3 linked regions of the Saccharomyces cerevisiae S288C genome follow. The protein of the gene in region 1 purifies or fractionates together with the protein of each later gene. This does not show direct contact. Each region holds a gene or a part of one and is shown in the gene's direction. Other genes may lie near its edges. The genes, in order: RPL22A, NOG2 and RQC1.

What was found.
Region 2: the proteins of RPL22A (region 1) and NOG2 purify together in Saccharomyces cerevisiae (affinity purification with mass spectrometry; 2 studies listed by BioGRID). This does not show direct contact.
Region 3: the proteins of RPL22A (region 1) and RQC1 purify together in Saccharomyces cerevisiae (affinity purification with mass spectrometry; 3 studies listed by BioGRID). This does not show direct contact.

Annotation. Positions count from the first base shown.
Region 1 is NC_001144.5:261,442-264,471, forward strand, and holds RPL22A (60S ribosomal protein eL22 RPL22A), read left to right. Parts: upstream 1-1,752; coding exon 1,753-1,764; intron 1,765-2,153; coding exon 2,154-2,507; downstream 2,508-3,030. Other genes in the region: FRS1 (phenylalanine--tRNA ligase subunit beta), read left to right, coding at 1-1,325; BMT6 (25S rRNA (uracil2843-N3)-methyltransferase), read left to right, coding at 2,716-3,030.
Region 2 is NC_001146.8:720,618-725,209, reverse strand, and holds NOG2 (putative GTPase NOG2), read left to right. Parts: upstream 1-2,097; coding exon 2,098-2,907; intron 2,908-2,998; exon of another isoform or gene 2,999-3,272; intron 3,273-3,439; coding exon 3,440-4,090; downstream 4,091-4,592. Other genes in the region: RNA-binding ATPase activator ESF2, read left to right, coding at 904-1,854; CCR4-NOT core DEDD family RNase subunit POP2, read left to right, coding at 4,563-4,592. UniProt on the Saccharomyces cerevisiae protein: GTPase that associates with pre-60S ribosomal subunits in the nucleolus and is required for their nuclear export and maturation.
Region 3 is NC_001136.10:1,132,608-1,137,168, reverse strand, and holds RQC1 (Rqc1p), read left to right. Parts: upstream 1-1,737; coding exon 1,738-3,909; downstream 3,910-4,561. Other genes in the region: chromatin-remodeling protein SWR1, read right to left, coding at 1-1,237; IRC3 (double-stranded DNA-dependent ATPase), read right to left, coding at 4,099-4,561. UniProt on the Saccharomyces cerevisiae protein: Component of the ribosome quality control complex (RQC), a ribosome-associated complex that mediates ubiquitination and extraction of incompletely synthesized nascent chains for proteasomal degradation.

The DNA of each region.
Region 1 (3,030 bases):
GTCCATTCCATTACAGAGCTCTACCACCAAAGGACATCAAGTTCGTACCATTGAATCAAACCCAAGAGTTTACTGGTGACAAATTGATCGAGTTTTATAAATCTCCAGAACAGAAAAACAACATAGGGAGATACGTTCACATTATTGAGGATTCTCCAGTCTTCCCAGTTATTATGGACAGCAAAGATCGTGTTTGCTCCCTGCCACCATTAATCAATAGTGAACATTCGAAGATCTCTGTGAACACCCGTAACATTTTGATTGATATAACCGCCACCGATAAGACCAAAGCCGAGATCGTTTTGAACATATTAACTACAATGTTCTCACGTTATTGTGACGAACCATTCACGGTTGAGCCTGTAGAAATTGTCTCTGAACACAATGGCCAATCCCGTTTGGCGCCAAACTTCAACGATAGAATTATGGATGTCTCCATTAAGTACATCAACTCCTGTCTTGGCCTAGATCAATCCGCTGATGAAATTGCTCATTGTCTAAAGAAGATGTCGTTGCATGCCGTTCAATCAAAGGAAGACAAGGACATCTTGCACGTTGACATTCCGGTAACTAGACCTGATATTTTGCACGCTTGTGATATAATGGAAGATGCCGCTGTCGGTTATGGTTTCAATAATTTGCCAAAGGGTGAGAAATTATCCAATGCCAACTTCATTGCCAAACCATTACCAATCAACAAGGTTTCTGATATTTTCAGAGTTGCATCCTCTCAAGCCACGTGGGTTGAGGTTTTACCATTGACCTTATGTTCGCACGATGAAAACTTTAAATTTCTAAGACAATCCGACAATGGTGATTTAGCTGTCAAATTGGCCAACCCAAAGACTTTGGAATACCAAGTTGTTAGAACCACTTTATTGCCTGGTATCTTAAAGACAGTCAAGGAAAACAGAAAACATTCCTTGCCAATCAAAGTCTTTGAAACCGGTGACGTTGTATTTAAAGACGACAAACTAGAAAGGAAGGCGTACAATGAACGTCACTGGGCTGCCATCTACGTGGGTAAGAATTCTGGGTTTGAAATCATTCAAGGGTTATTGGGTAAAATCATGCAAACTTTTAGAACAGAGTGGATTGCAGACTACGGTGCTGCTGCTTCTGGCAGAGGTTACTGGATTGAAGAAGACGATTCTGTGAAAACCTACTTCCCAGGTAGAGGTGCCAAGGTCATGTTCAGATCCAAAGAAGGCGCTGAGCCAAAGCAAATCGGCCACTTGGGTGTCTTGCATCCTGAAGTCATGATGAATTTCGACGTTCCATTCGCTGCATCCTTTGTAGAGGTTAATGCCGAAGTCTTCCTATAATGTAATGTTCTAACAAAAATTTTTACTGATTTATAAAACTTATATAGATAGATAGACACATATATATATCTATATATAGAAACACAACTAAAGTTTACCATGTTTTATATAATATTACTACCGCTACTGAGTAAATGTTTAGCTTGTACTTAACTTTCAAAGACAGTTTTTTTGATAAACATCAGTACATTTAATAATACATCCATACATTTATGTTAATTTGTTTTTCCTTTCCACCTCAGTGCGCTTCTCTTTTGAAAAAATCCTCAACAGGCCACGCGAACAAATCTTACCGAGAATTTCCTAAAATGTTTCAAACTATCATTTAGCTGCATACAATATGTACATTATTAATTGAGATTAACAACTTTACCTGTACTTTACCGTTATCAAATTATAAACCACCAAAACAACAGATTAAGAAACAATGGCCCCAAACGTATGATACTTTAAAAGGAATCCACGCCCGATTACGAAGTCTATGTTTTACTGTTATTGTAATGATTGATTGTACGCGAATAACAAGGAAGATAGTAAAACCAAAAAAAAAAAAATAAAAATGTACGAAACGAAGAAGCGTCTATGTGTTTAGTTGCTTTTCTGTATTTTAAAAATTCACTACTTGAACATTGAACTCTATATCGACTCCCTTCTTTTTATCCGTTTCTGAATGTTTTTTTGTTTGAGATTGTCATATGTGATTGTTAATAGCAGTAGGCAACTTTGTGGTTTCGGGATTGAAAGAAAATCGTGAAATATTCGTTTTTTACTAACATTACTGTTCTGAAAATTTTTACTAATTTTCAATCTTTAATTTTTTTGATATAGACTTCCAGAAAGCAAAAGATTGCCAAGACCTTTACCGTCGATGTCTCTTCTCCAACTGAAAACGGTGTCTTCGACCCAGCTTCCTACGCTAAGTACTTGATCGACCACATCAAGGTCGAAGGTGCTGTCGGTAACTTGGGTAACGCTGTCACTGTCACTGAAGATGGTACCGTTGTTACTGTTGTTTCCACTGCCAAGTTCTCTGGTAAGTACTTGAAGTACTTGACAAAGAAGTACTTGAAGAAGAACCAATTGAGAGACTGGATCAGATTTGTCTCTACCAAGACCAACGAATACAGATTGGCCTTCTACCAAGTCACTCCAGAAGAAGACGAAGAAGAAGACGAAGAATAAATTCATTAATATTATTTTAAATAGAGCATAAGTTTTGTATAATTAAAATCTTCTAAACCTAATAAATATGTTTAATGAATGATTCAATATCAAAAAAAGAAATCCATTGGGCCCTTAGTGCATTTTTATTTTTTTTTTTTTTTTTTTTTTTTTTCTCTTTCTGAATTAGAGTACATCTCATCGCAGGGTCTCTTTTTGCACGTTTTTGATGTTGCTTATGAGACGCTTTGCCTTTTTAACTTCTTCAGTATATTTTAAATATATACCAATTTATTCACAATATCATTACTCTTCTCAGTTTCCAATTAACATGAATCCTAAAAAAGTGGCCCAATTGCCCGTTCACAATAAATCAACGCTTCCACCACAGGAAATAATCGATCTTTTTAAAATAACATTCTTAGAAGAGCTATATCCAAAAGATCAAGACAATGAAAAGTCACCGTTAACTGAACAAATACAGGCGGTAAAATCTGACCTTTATAACAGAGATTACAATGCTGCTTTCAATAACGACTCGAAA
Region 2 (4,592 bases), on another chromosome or scaffold:
TATTTTTCATAAGCTATTGAGATCTTATCACCTTGCTCTGTAATTCTAAAGTTGTTCTAAAACCGCAATTAATGTTTCAATTTTGGCGCTATTAATAATGATGGATACTCAACGAGGCGTACCAGTAGCATTTTGCCATCTTAACACATTAGCAAACGTTGCTATTATTGATCCTTCCATAAGTAATTTCACACATCCATTTTCGTCCCTAAGATAAAACAAAGTCTCACAATTCGTATATTGATATTTCAAACCCCAAAGCCTGTAGCCTTTTGATTATGACCGACTTCCCAGACGTGGCCATATTGATAAAGGTGCTTTCTGATCAAAGTTAGTATTAAAGAAAGGGTAAAATTCGTAATATCGTAATATTGTAATATGAACCAAAAACGTTCACAATGTGTAGGATGCACTACCAAATAGGTTGCGTTGTAGTACTCATCTCTCGGTTGCGCGACTAGAAAGTTACTAGAAAACTCCGGAATTCCTTATAATATACTGCAATAATGCACATGTATCTTTTCAGTGCAAATTAATTATAGGAACAAACAGATAGCGACAATTCTTTAAGGGCTGCTGGATTGACAACCCCTTCATCGACCATATTTGATTAGCCAGCCACCAAATAGCGTTTCAATTGACAAACTACATTATCTCGTGAAGAATATTTAAACGGTGATATTGGGTCTGTCTGATCACATTTCCAAAGGCAATGACGTGTAAATTTTTTCTTTCTCTTGTTTTATTATTTTGAATTACTTCGTTATAGCCAGCTTTTCTCACATTGCGCAGTAAAACTTTCGCTATTAAGATTTTGAAAAATTTCAACCTGACAAACTACCCATTGCTATGTAAGTACAAAGCAAACAGTTTACTGCAGCAGAGTGAAGTAAATTTTTACGCATGAGTGAAAAAGTAAATAGTGACTTTGAAGACTTTTCCTCAGATGAGGAAACCGATCAACATAACGTCTTAATTCAGACCAAGAAAAAAATTTCTAGTAAGGATGATATCTTCAGTAAGAAGGTAGAAGACATCGAAAGTGAAAACGAGTCAGACATAGAAGAAGAGCAAAAACAAGAAGAAAAAGAGGATGTAGAACAACCAGATAAAGAGAATGGAGAAAAGCTCGATCGAGAAGTAGAAGAACAAGCTTCGTCCACCACTTCACTGGATTTAAAAACAGAAAAACTAAGGCAACTGGTAAAATCAAAGGCCGCCAAGAAGTCTAAACACAAGACTGGGGTGGTATACTTCTCCAGTATTCCACCTTACATGAAACCTGCAAAAATGAGACAAATATTAACTCGTTTTGGTGAGGTAGATAGACTATTTCTAAAGAAAGAGGACGATCAAAAGTACAAGCAAAGAGTTAAAGGTGGAGGAAACAAGAAAAACAAGTATGAAGAAGGTTGGGCCGAGTTTATTAGGAAAAGAGACGCCAAATTGTGTGCGGAGACGTTGAACGGGAACATTATTGGTGGCAAGAAAGGTACTTTCTACCATGATGATATCCTGAACGTGAAGTACCTCCCAGGTTTCAAATGGGCAGATTTGACTGAACAGATTGCCCGCGAGAACGATATCAGACAGGCCAAGTTGGAGATGGAAATCTCGCAGGCCAACAAACTGAACGCGGAATTCATTAGAAACGTGGAGCAAAGTAAGATGATACAAAACATTAAGAACTCTAGGAAGCGCGCCGGAAAAGAAGGAGAGTCTGCAGATTCTCACCCTCACAGGGAATTTAAACAACGTCGTGTGGAAACAAGCCGTGCCAATGCTCCCTCTGATATCAAGCAGCAATCCTCTGGGTCCAAAGACTTGGGTAATGTTCTCACCAATTTACTATAATATAGAATCAATAACAAATATATAAACACAACCTGTCATTTAGCACGTTTTTTTGCCCGATGCTCATCGCAAAAATTTTTCGCTTGAAGAAAAATTTTTCACTTTTCTTCTTTTTGGGCATATAAAGAAGCGTAGAATATATAAAAGATATTTACTACTTGTTAGTACTTTCCCTTAAGTGTTAACTTTGAAGATCTGTTGACTTGCAGCAAAACCACTAAATATCAGGGGAGGAATAATACAATGGGTACTGGTAAGAAAGAGAAATCTAGACGTATTCGTGAAGGTGACACCAAAGATGGTAATCTTCGTGTGAAGGGTGAAAATTTCTACAGAGACTCCAAGAGAGTCAAATTCCTGAATATGTACACTAGTGGGAAGGAGATCAGGAATAAGAAAGGTAATTTAATTAGGGCCGCTTCTTTCCAGGACTCCACAATACCGGATGCGAGGGTCCAACCAGATCGTCGTTGGTTCGGTAACACAAGAGTGATATCTCAGGACGCACTGCAGCATTTCAGAAGTGCATTGGGTGAAACCCAAAAAGATACATATCAAGTTCTTCTGAGAAGAAATAAGCTTCCCATGTCATTGTTGGAAGAAAAGGACGCAGATGAATCCCCAAAAGCCAGAATTTTGGATACCGAAAGTTATGCTGATGCGTTTGGGCCCAAAGCCCAAAGAAAGAGACCACGTCTTGCTGCATCCAATCTAGAGGACTTGGTCAAGGCTACAAATGAAGACATTACCAAGTATGAGGAAAAGCAAGTCTTAGATGCCACATTAGGACTAATGGGGAACCAGGAAGACAAAGAAAATGGGTGGACCTCCGCAGCAAAAGAAGCTATTTTCAGTAAGGGTCAATCCAAACGTATTTGGAACGAATTATATAAAGTCATCGATTCGTCTGACGTGGTAATACATGTTCTAGATGCAAGGGATCCATTGGGTACCCGTTGTAAGTCCGTGGAAGAGTATATGAAGAAGGAAACACCACACAAGCATTTAATTTATGTTCTTAATAAGTGTGATTTGGTACCTACCTGGGTTGCAGTATGTTAACTTTTTTTTTTTTTTTTTTGATTCTTTCCAACCAAGAGGATAGCACGAGAGATTTTTTTTTTCGATAGAGTATGATTTTTATTACCAAACCTTTTTGTCAGGGTGCTTCTCTATCCGTTTTAGGATAAACTTATCTACAGAAGTGTCTGTTACTGTTTTGGAAGAGTAATACTGTTCGCTTATCCATATTTCCCCGTTCTGGGGAAGCCTCATGGGTAAATTAGAAGGACAACCTTTGTTTTAAAGGTATACCTTCGCTTTTTAGAACAGCGAGGATCTTATGAGTTGAGCTTTTGTTATTTGAGACTTTATCTCGGGCTCCATACAATATGTTCGTAGTAAAGATCCTCACAATTTTCTACTTTTTTTTTTTTTTTAGTTTAATCCACTCTTCGAAACAATCAATCTCGGCTATAACAATGATTATTACATTCTCTTGGGGCAAAAGATTACCTATTATGAAACAAAATGTATTTTTTACTAACAGAAGGTTTTTTTTTTTCAATTCTAACTTTACAAGTAGGCAGCTTGGGTCAAACATTTGTCAAAGGAACGTCCAACTTTGGCGTTTCACGCATCTATTACCAACTCTTTCGGTAAAGGTTCGTTAATTCAGTTGCTACGTCAGTTCTCACAGTTGCATACTGATAGAAAGCAAATATCTGTAGGGTTTATCGGCTATCCAAACACTGGTAAATCGTCCATCATTAACACATTGAGAAAGAAAAAGGTGTGTCAAGTTGCACCAATCCCTGGTGAAACTAAGGTCTGGCAATATATTACTCTTATGAAAAGAATTTTTTTGATTGATTGTCCAGGTATTGTGCCGCCTTCTAGTAAAGACTCCGAAGAAGACATTTTATTCAGAGGTGTTGTCAGAGTCGAACACGTCACACACCCAGAACAATATATTCCAGGTGTTTTAAAACGTTGTCAGGTAAAGCACTTGGAAAGAACTTACGAGATCTCAGGATGGAAGGATGCCACGGAGTTTATTGAAATTCTGGCAAGGAAACAAGGTAGATTACTGAAGGGTGGTGAGCCTGATGAGTCTGGTGTTTCTAAGCAAATATTGAATGATTTTAATAGAGGTAAAATCCCTTGGTTCGTCCTTCCACCTGAAAAGGAAGGGGAAGAAAAACCAAAGAAGAAAGAAGTTGAGAAGACGGCATAGAGGTAAAAACGGACAACCGGTGTATAATATTAATTTAAGATTACAAGTGATTTTTTTTTTCTTTTTTTTTGTTATTTTTTTTTTTGTTCTTATTATATGGCAGCAAACATTCTTGGGGAAACAACATAGATGGGTAATTATTTAGTTTATAAAGTATAATATTCCAATAGAAAACTTAAGTTCGGTAATGATATAGCCCTCTCTATAGTATAAGGTAAATCTCATTATACCAGTCATTCCAAACGGAATTCGGTCCTTACCCGCTGCTCGCTCTTTTTTCATCATTATGATATTTTCTTTATTGAGTCTTTTCAATTATAGTAGTAGAATGATAACTGACAAGAAAGATCAGTTTGAAGTTTATTAGCGTGTCTCGTTATCAGGGCTTCCTTGTTTTTCATACTGGAAATACTTCGAACGATTAGAAACAGGCAACTCAATTTTATACATTTATAAAGGGTCAAAAAGGATTATGCAATCTATGAATGTACAACCGAGGGTA
Region 3 (4,561 bases), on another chromosome or scaffold:
CGAACCTGGCTAGCGACTTTTTGTGCCTCTCCTCCTCCTTTGCCTTTCTTTCTTCTGCTCCGGCTACGTGTTTAAAATGTTGTTCTATCATTTGAGAAACCTTTTTGGCTCTTGCTATTCTTGCCTTTGTTGAACTTCTAAACAGCTTACTCATATGAATACCTTGGTTAATTAAGTGATCGGTATGGATTTGCAGATCTTGTTGTTTATAGAAATATGAAATCGGGTCTGGTTTATATGTTATGATAGTCTTGATTTCCTTGGATGTTATAGGTTGTAGTGAGTCCGTTTCTTTGTCATACTTCAATGCGCCATTTTCAATACCTTTTTTGAGTCTCGATAAAAGCCGTCTTTGTTCGTCGATGTATTTATTATATTCTTCCAGCGTTAAATCGTCTTCTAATGACTTAAAGGAAGCGATGTATTCGTGCAAGCTTTCGTATCCCGGCTTGACTACATGCAACGGGTTCGTTATGGTTTGCTTTGGAGGATGGACTACCAGTTTTATTCTAGGCTTCTTTTTCTTTCTACCTCTTTTTTTCTTTATATCTTCCTCTTCGGATGATGTGGTGAAATAAAAATTATCACTATAATGTTCACTAGTATTTTCAAAGGAGCTATCATCAGAAGGACACTTTATAGTGAAGGCTTCAGAGGGTTCTTCAACTTTTGCGATGTGATCATATCTCTCTTCAGCTATATGTTCATGCAATGGCAGTGGATTTTCCTTTCTTTCACTTTTGAACTTCAAGGACTTCGCTGCTTCTCTCTTCTTCAAATGTTGTATTGGTCTTTTTTGCGGTACTATAGATTTCCTATTTGAATGATCACTTAGTTTGTATTTTAGCTCCTCACATTTATTTCGTACTAATGGTGCTATGCTTTCTAACTTCAGTTCTATATCACCCTTTTTCTCATTAGTCGTTTCTGAACTAACAACTGTCGATGTCCTGAGGTTTCGCCTTCTGCGAGTAAGATCACCATTCGTGCCTTTCTTGGCTACGTCATCAGTGAATTTTTCTCCTCTCTCCTCTAACGACAAGTGTGTTTCCCTGAGAAACTTCTGAAAACTTTCAGAATCATTAAAATGGGTTGGATCATAATCTACCAATGAAACAAACTCTCTTAAATGGAACAGTTCATTCGTCAGAAGATCATACCTAAACTTCAAATCCGCCAGATCCTGTTCACCACCAGCCTTTTTGTCTTTCGCATGCGATTTACGAGATGTGGTCATATATTCTTGTAATGCAATAACTTGGAAAATGCAAAGAGCAGTTAGAATTCATAAATTTTCAGCTTAAGGAAATATTTTCTAAGAGTTAAAATGGTATTGTTGAATACCTCTCAAATGCAGTAATCGAATGCTTTGGGTCTTATCTAGTTTAAAGCTCAAAATCTATCCTTTTTGCACGTAAACACTTTAGAATCCCGCTATCCCTTTGCACTCTTTCTTCAAGTCTCCTCTTTTTTTTTTTTCTCGTAAGTTGTCGCGAAACGCCACCGAAAAATCTTAAGGAAATAATATTAAAAACTGAAAAAAAAAAAATTGAGAAAGTATTACCCTCCCTTAATAATCGTATAGAGGTATAAACGGGTAACATTATGCGAGCAATATGTTCACTACTGCATCAACGTATAGTGAAAAATGTCCATAGGTAGTACATACAGTCCACCAGTTGAAGGTTAACATACAGGTCGTTGAATCATCTAAATATATTTGTAAAGTACTCGAACATGAGCTCTAGAGCATTAAGGAGATTACAAGATGATAATGCTCTGCTAGAGTCGCTGCTATCGAATTCAAATGCGAATAAAATGACGAGTGGTAAAAGTACTGCCGGTAATATTCAGAAACGGGAGAACATCTTCTCTATGATGAATAACGTACGTGATTCAGATAATAGCACTGATGAAGGACAAATGTCTGAGCAGGATGAAGAAGCTGCTGCTGCTGGGGAGCGTGATACTCAAAGTAATGGTCAACCTAAAAGAATTACACTAGCATCCAAGTCTTCTAGAAGGAAAAAGAATAAAAAGGCAAAAAGGAAGCAAAAAAACCATACCGCCGAGGCTGCAAAAGACAAGGGTTCCGATGATGATGATGATGATGAAGAATTCGACAAGATTATCCAACAGTTCAAAAAAACTGATATATTGAAGTACGGTAAGACTAAAAATGATGACACTAATGAGGAAGGTTTCTTCACGGCATCTGAACCAGAGGAAGCATCTAGCCAACCTTGGAAGTCATTTTTAAGCTTAGAAAGTGATCCGGGCTTCACAAAGTTCCCCATTTCATGTTTGAGGCATTCTTGCAAATTTTTTCAAAATGATTTCAAGAAATTGGACCCCCATACGGAATTCAAACTTTTATTTGACGATATATCTCCAGAGTCTCTTGAAGATATTGATTCGATGACATCCACACCTGTCTCCCCTCAGCAGCTGAAACAGATTCAGAGACTGAAAAGATTAATTAGAAACTGGGGCGGAAAAGATCATAGATTGGCACCTAATGGCCCCGGAATGCACCCGCAACATTTGAAGTTTACCAAGATCAGAGATGATTGGATCCCAACTCAAAGAGGTGAGCTCTCTATGAAACTTTTAAGTTCTGATGATCTTTTAGATTGGCAATTATGGGAAAGGCCGTTAGATTGGAAGGATGTTATCCAAAACGATGTCAGTCAGTGGCAAAAATTCATTTCTTTTTATAAGTTCGAACCTTTAAATTCCGACCTGAGCAAGAAATCAATGATGGACTTCTACTTAAGTGTTATTGTTCACCCTGATCATGAAGCCCTTATAAATTTGATTTCTTCTAAATTTCCGTATCATGTGCCTGGACTGCTACAAGTTGCTTTGATATTTATTAGGCAAGGTGATAGATCAAACACTAATGGATTGTTACAAAGAGCACTCTTTGTCTTTGATAGAGCTTTGAAAGCAAATATTATTTTCGATTCCTTGAATTGTCAACTACCTTATATATACTTCTTCAACAGACAGTTTTACTTGGCAATATTTAGATACATCCAATCTCTTGCTCAAAGAGGTGTTATAGGAACTGCTAGTGAATGGACAAAAGTTCTCTGGTCACTGAGCCCATTGGAAGATCCTTTAGGATGCAGGTATTTCCTCGATCACTATTTTCTATTGAATAATGACTATCAGTACATTATAGAATTATCCAACTCTCCATTAATGAACTGTTATAAACAGTGGAATACTTTAGGATTTTCCTTGGCGGTAGTACTAAGCTTCCTAAGAATAAATGAGATGAGTTCCGCCCGCAATGCGCTTCTAAAAGCCTTTAAGCATCATCCTTTACAACTGTCAGAACTTTTCAAGGAGAAACTCTTGGGCGATCATGCGCTAACTAAAGATTTATCCATTGATGGCCATTCGGCAGAAAACTTGGAATTAAAGGCATATATGGCCCGCTTCCCGTTACTTTGGAATAGAAACGAAGAGGTAACATTTTTGCATGATGAAATGTCGAGTATTTTACAGGATTACCATAGAGGAAACGTTACAATCGATTCAAATGATGGGCAAGATCACAATAACATTAACAACTTGCAATCACCTTTCTTTATTGCGGGAATCCCAATTAACTTATTAAGATTCGCCATACTATCTGAGGAGTCTTCTGTAATGGCTGCAATTCCATCATTTATCTGGTCTGATAATGAAGTATATGAGTTTGACGTATTACCACCAATGCCTACGTCAAAAGAATCAATCGAAGTGGTTGAAAACATCAAAACCTTTATTAATGAAAAGGATTTAGCTGTCCTTCAGGCAGAAAGAATGCAAGATGAGGACCTGTTGAATCAAATTAGACAAATATCTTTGCAACAGTACATTCATGAAAATGAAGAGTCAAATGAAAATGAGGGTTAATAAGAAATGTTGCAGCTCATTTTCTAGTACGCAGAGTAAGGCTAAAGCACTTATTTGAATTTAACGTTATTCATTGCATAGTTCAGAAAGGGTGTGATCCAAAAGAAAATGCATATACGAGTGGTCCGACGTTTACATATGTACTAGTGACTGTATATTAATATATGCACATTTATGTAGCTACGGATTTCACTTTATAAAAGATCTTCTTTTTTGATATTCTAATATTCGTAACAATGATTTCAACGGGTAGACAGGTGCCAAACTGCTGGCAAAGATTAAGTTGGAAGCATCTCCTTTCGTCATCTTAGTATTTACATAAGTAGTAACATCATCCAAAGATAATCTAATAAAATCTTTTGAGGACTCACCATATACTTTCTTTAGCTTTCTGAAAACAAAGTCTCTTTGTTTTGACGTAGGAACTGTTTGTCTCCATTTCGAGTATTTACTAGATATTGCCTGGTATTGCATTGTTTGTCCTTCCAAGTCCGAATTTAGAGTATTTATGATTTTTTCCACCTTTGACATTACATTCCAAAGATTAGCGTCTTTTATTATACTTTTTGGAACATAGTCCGCGTATTTATTTGTTATAAAACACGGTAATTGTCGATACATTTTTAGATGATATACCATCGACAATTTGTCT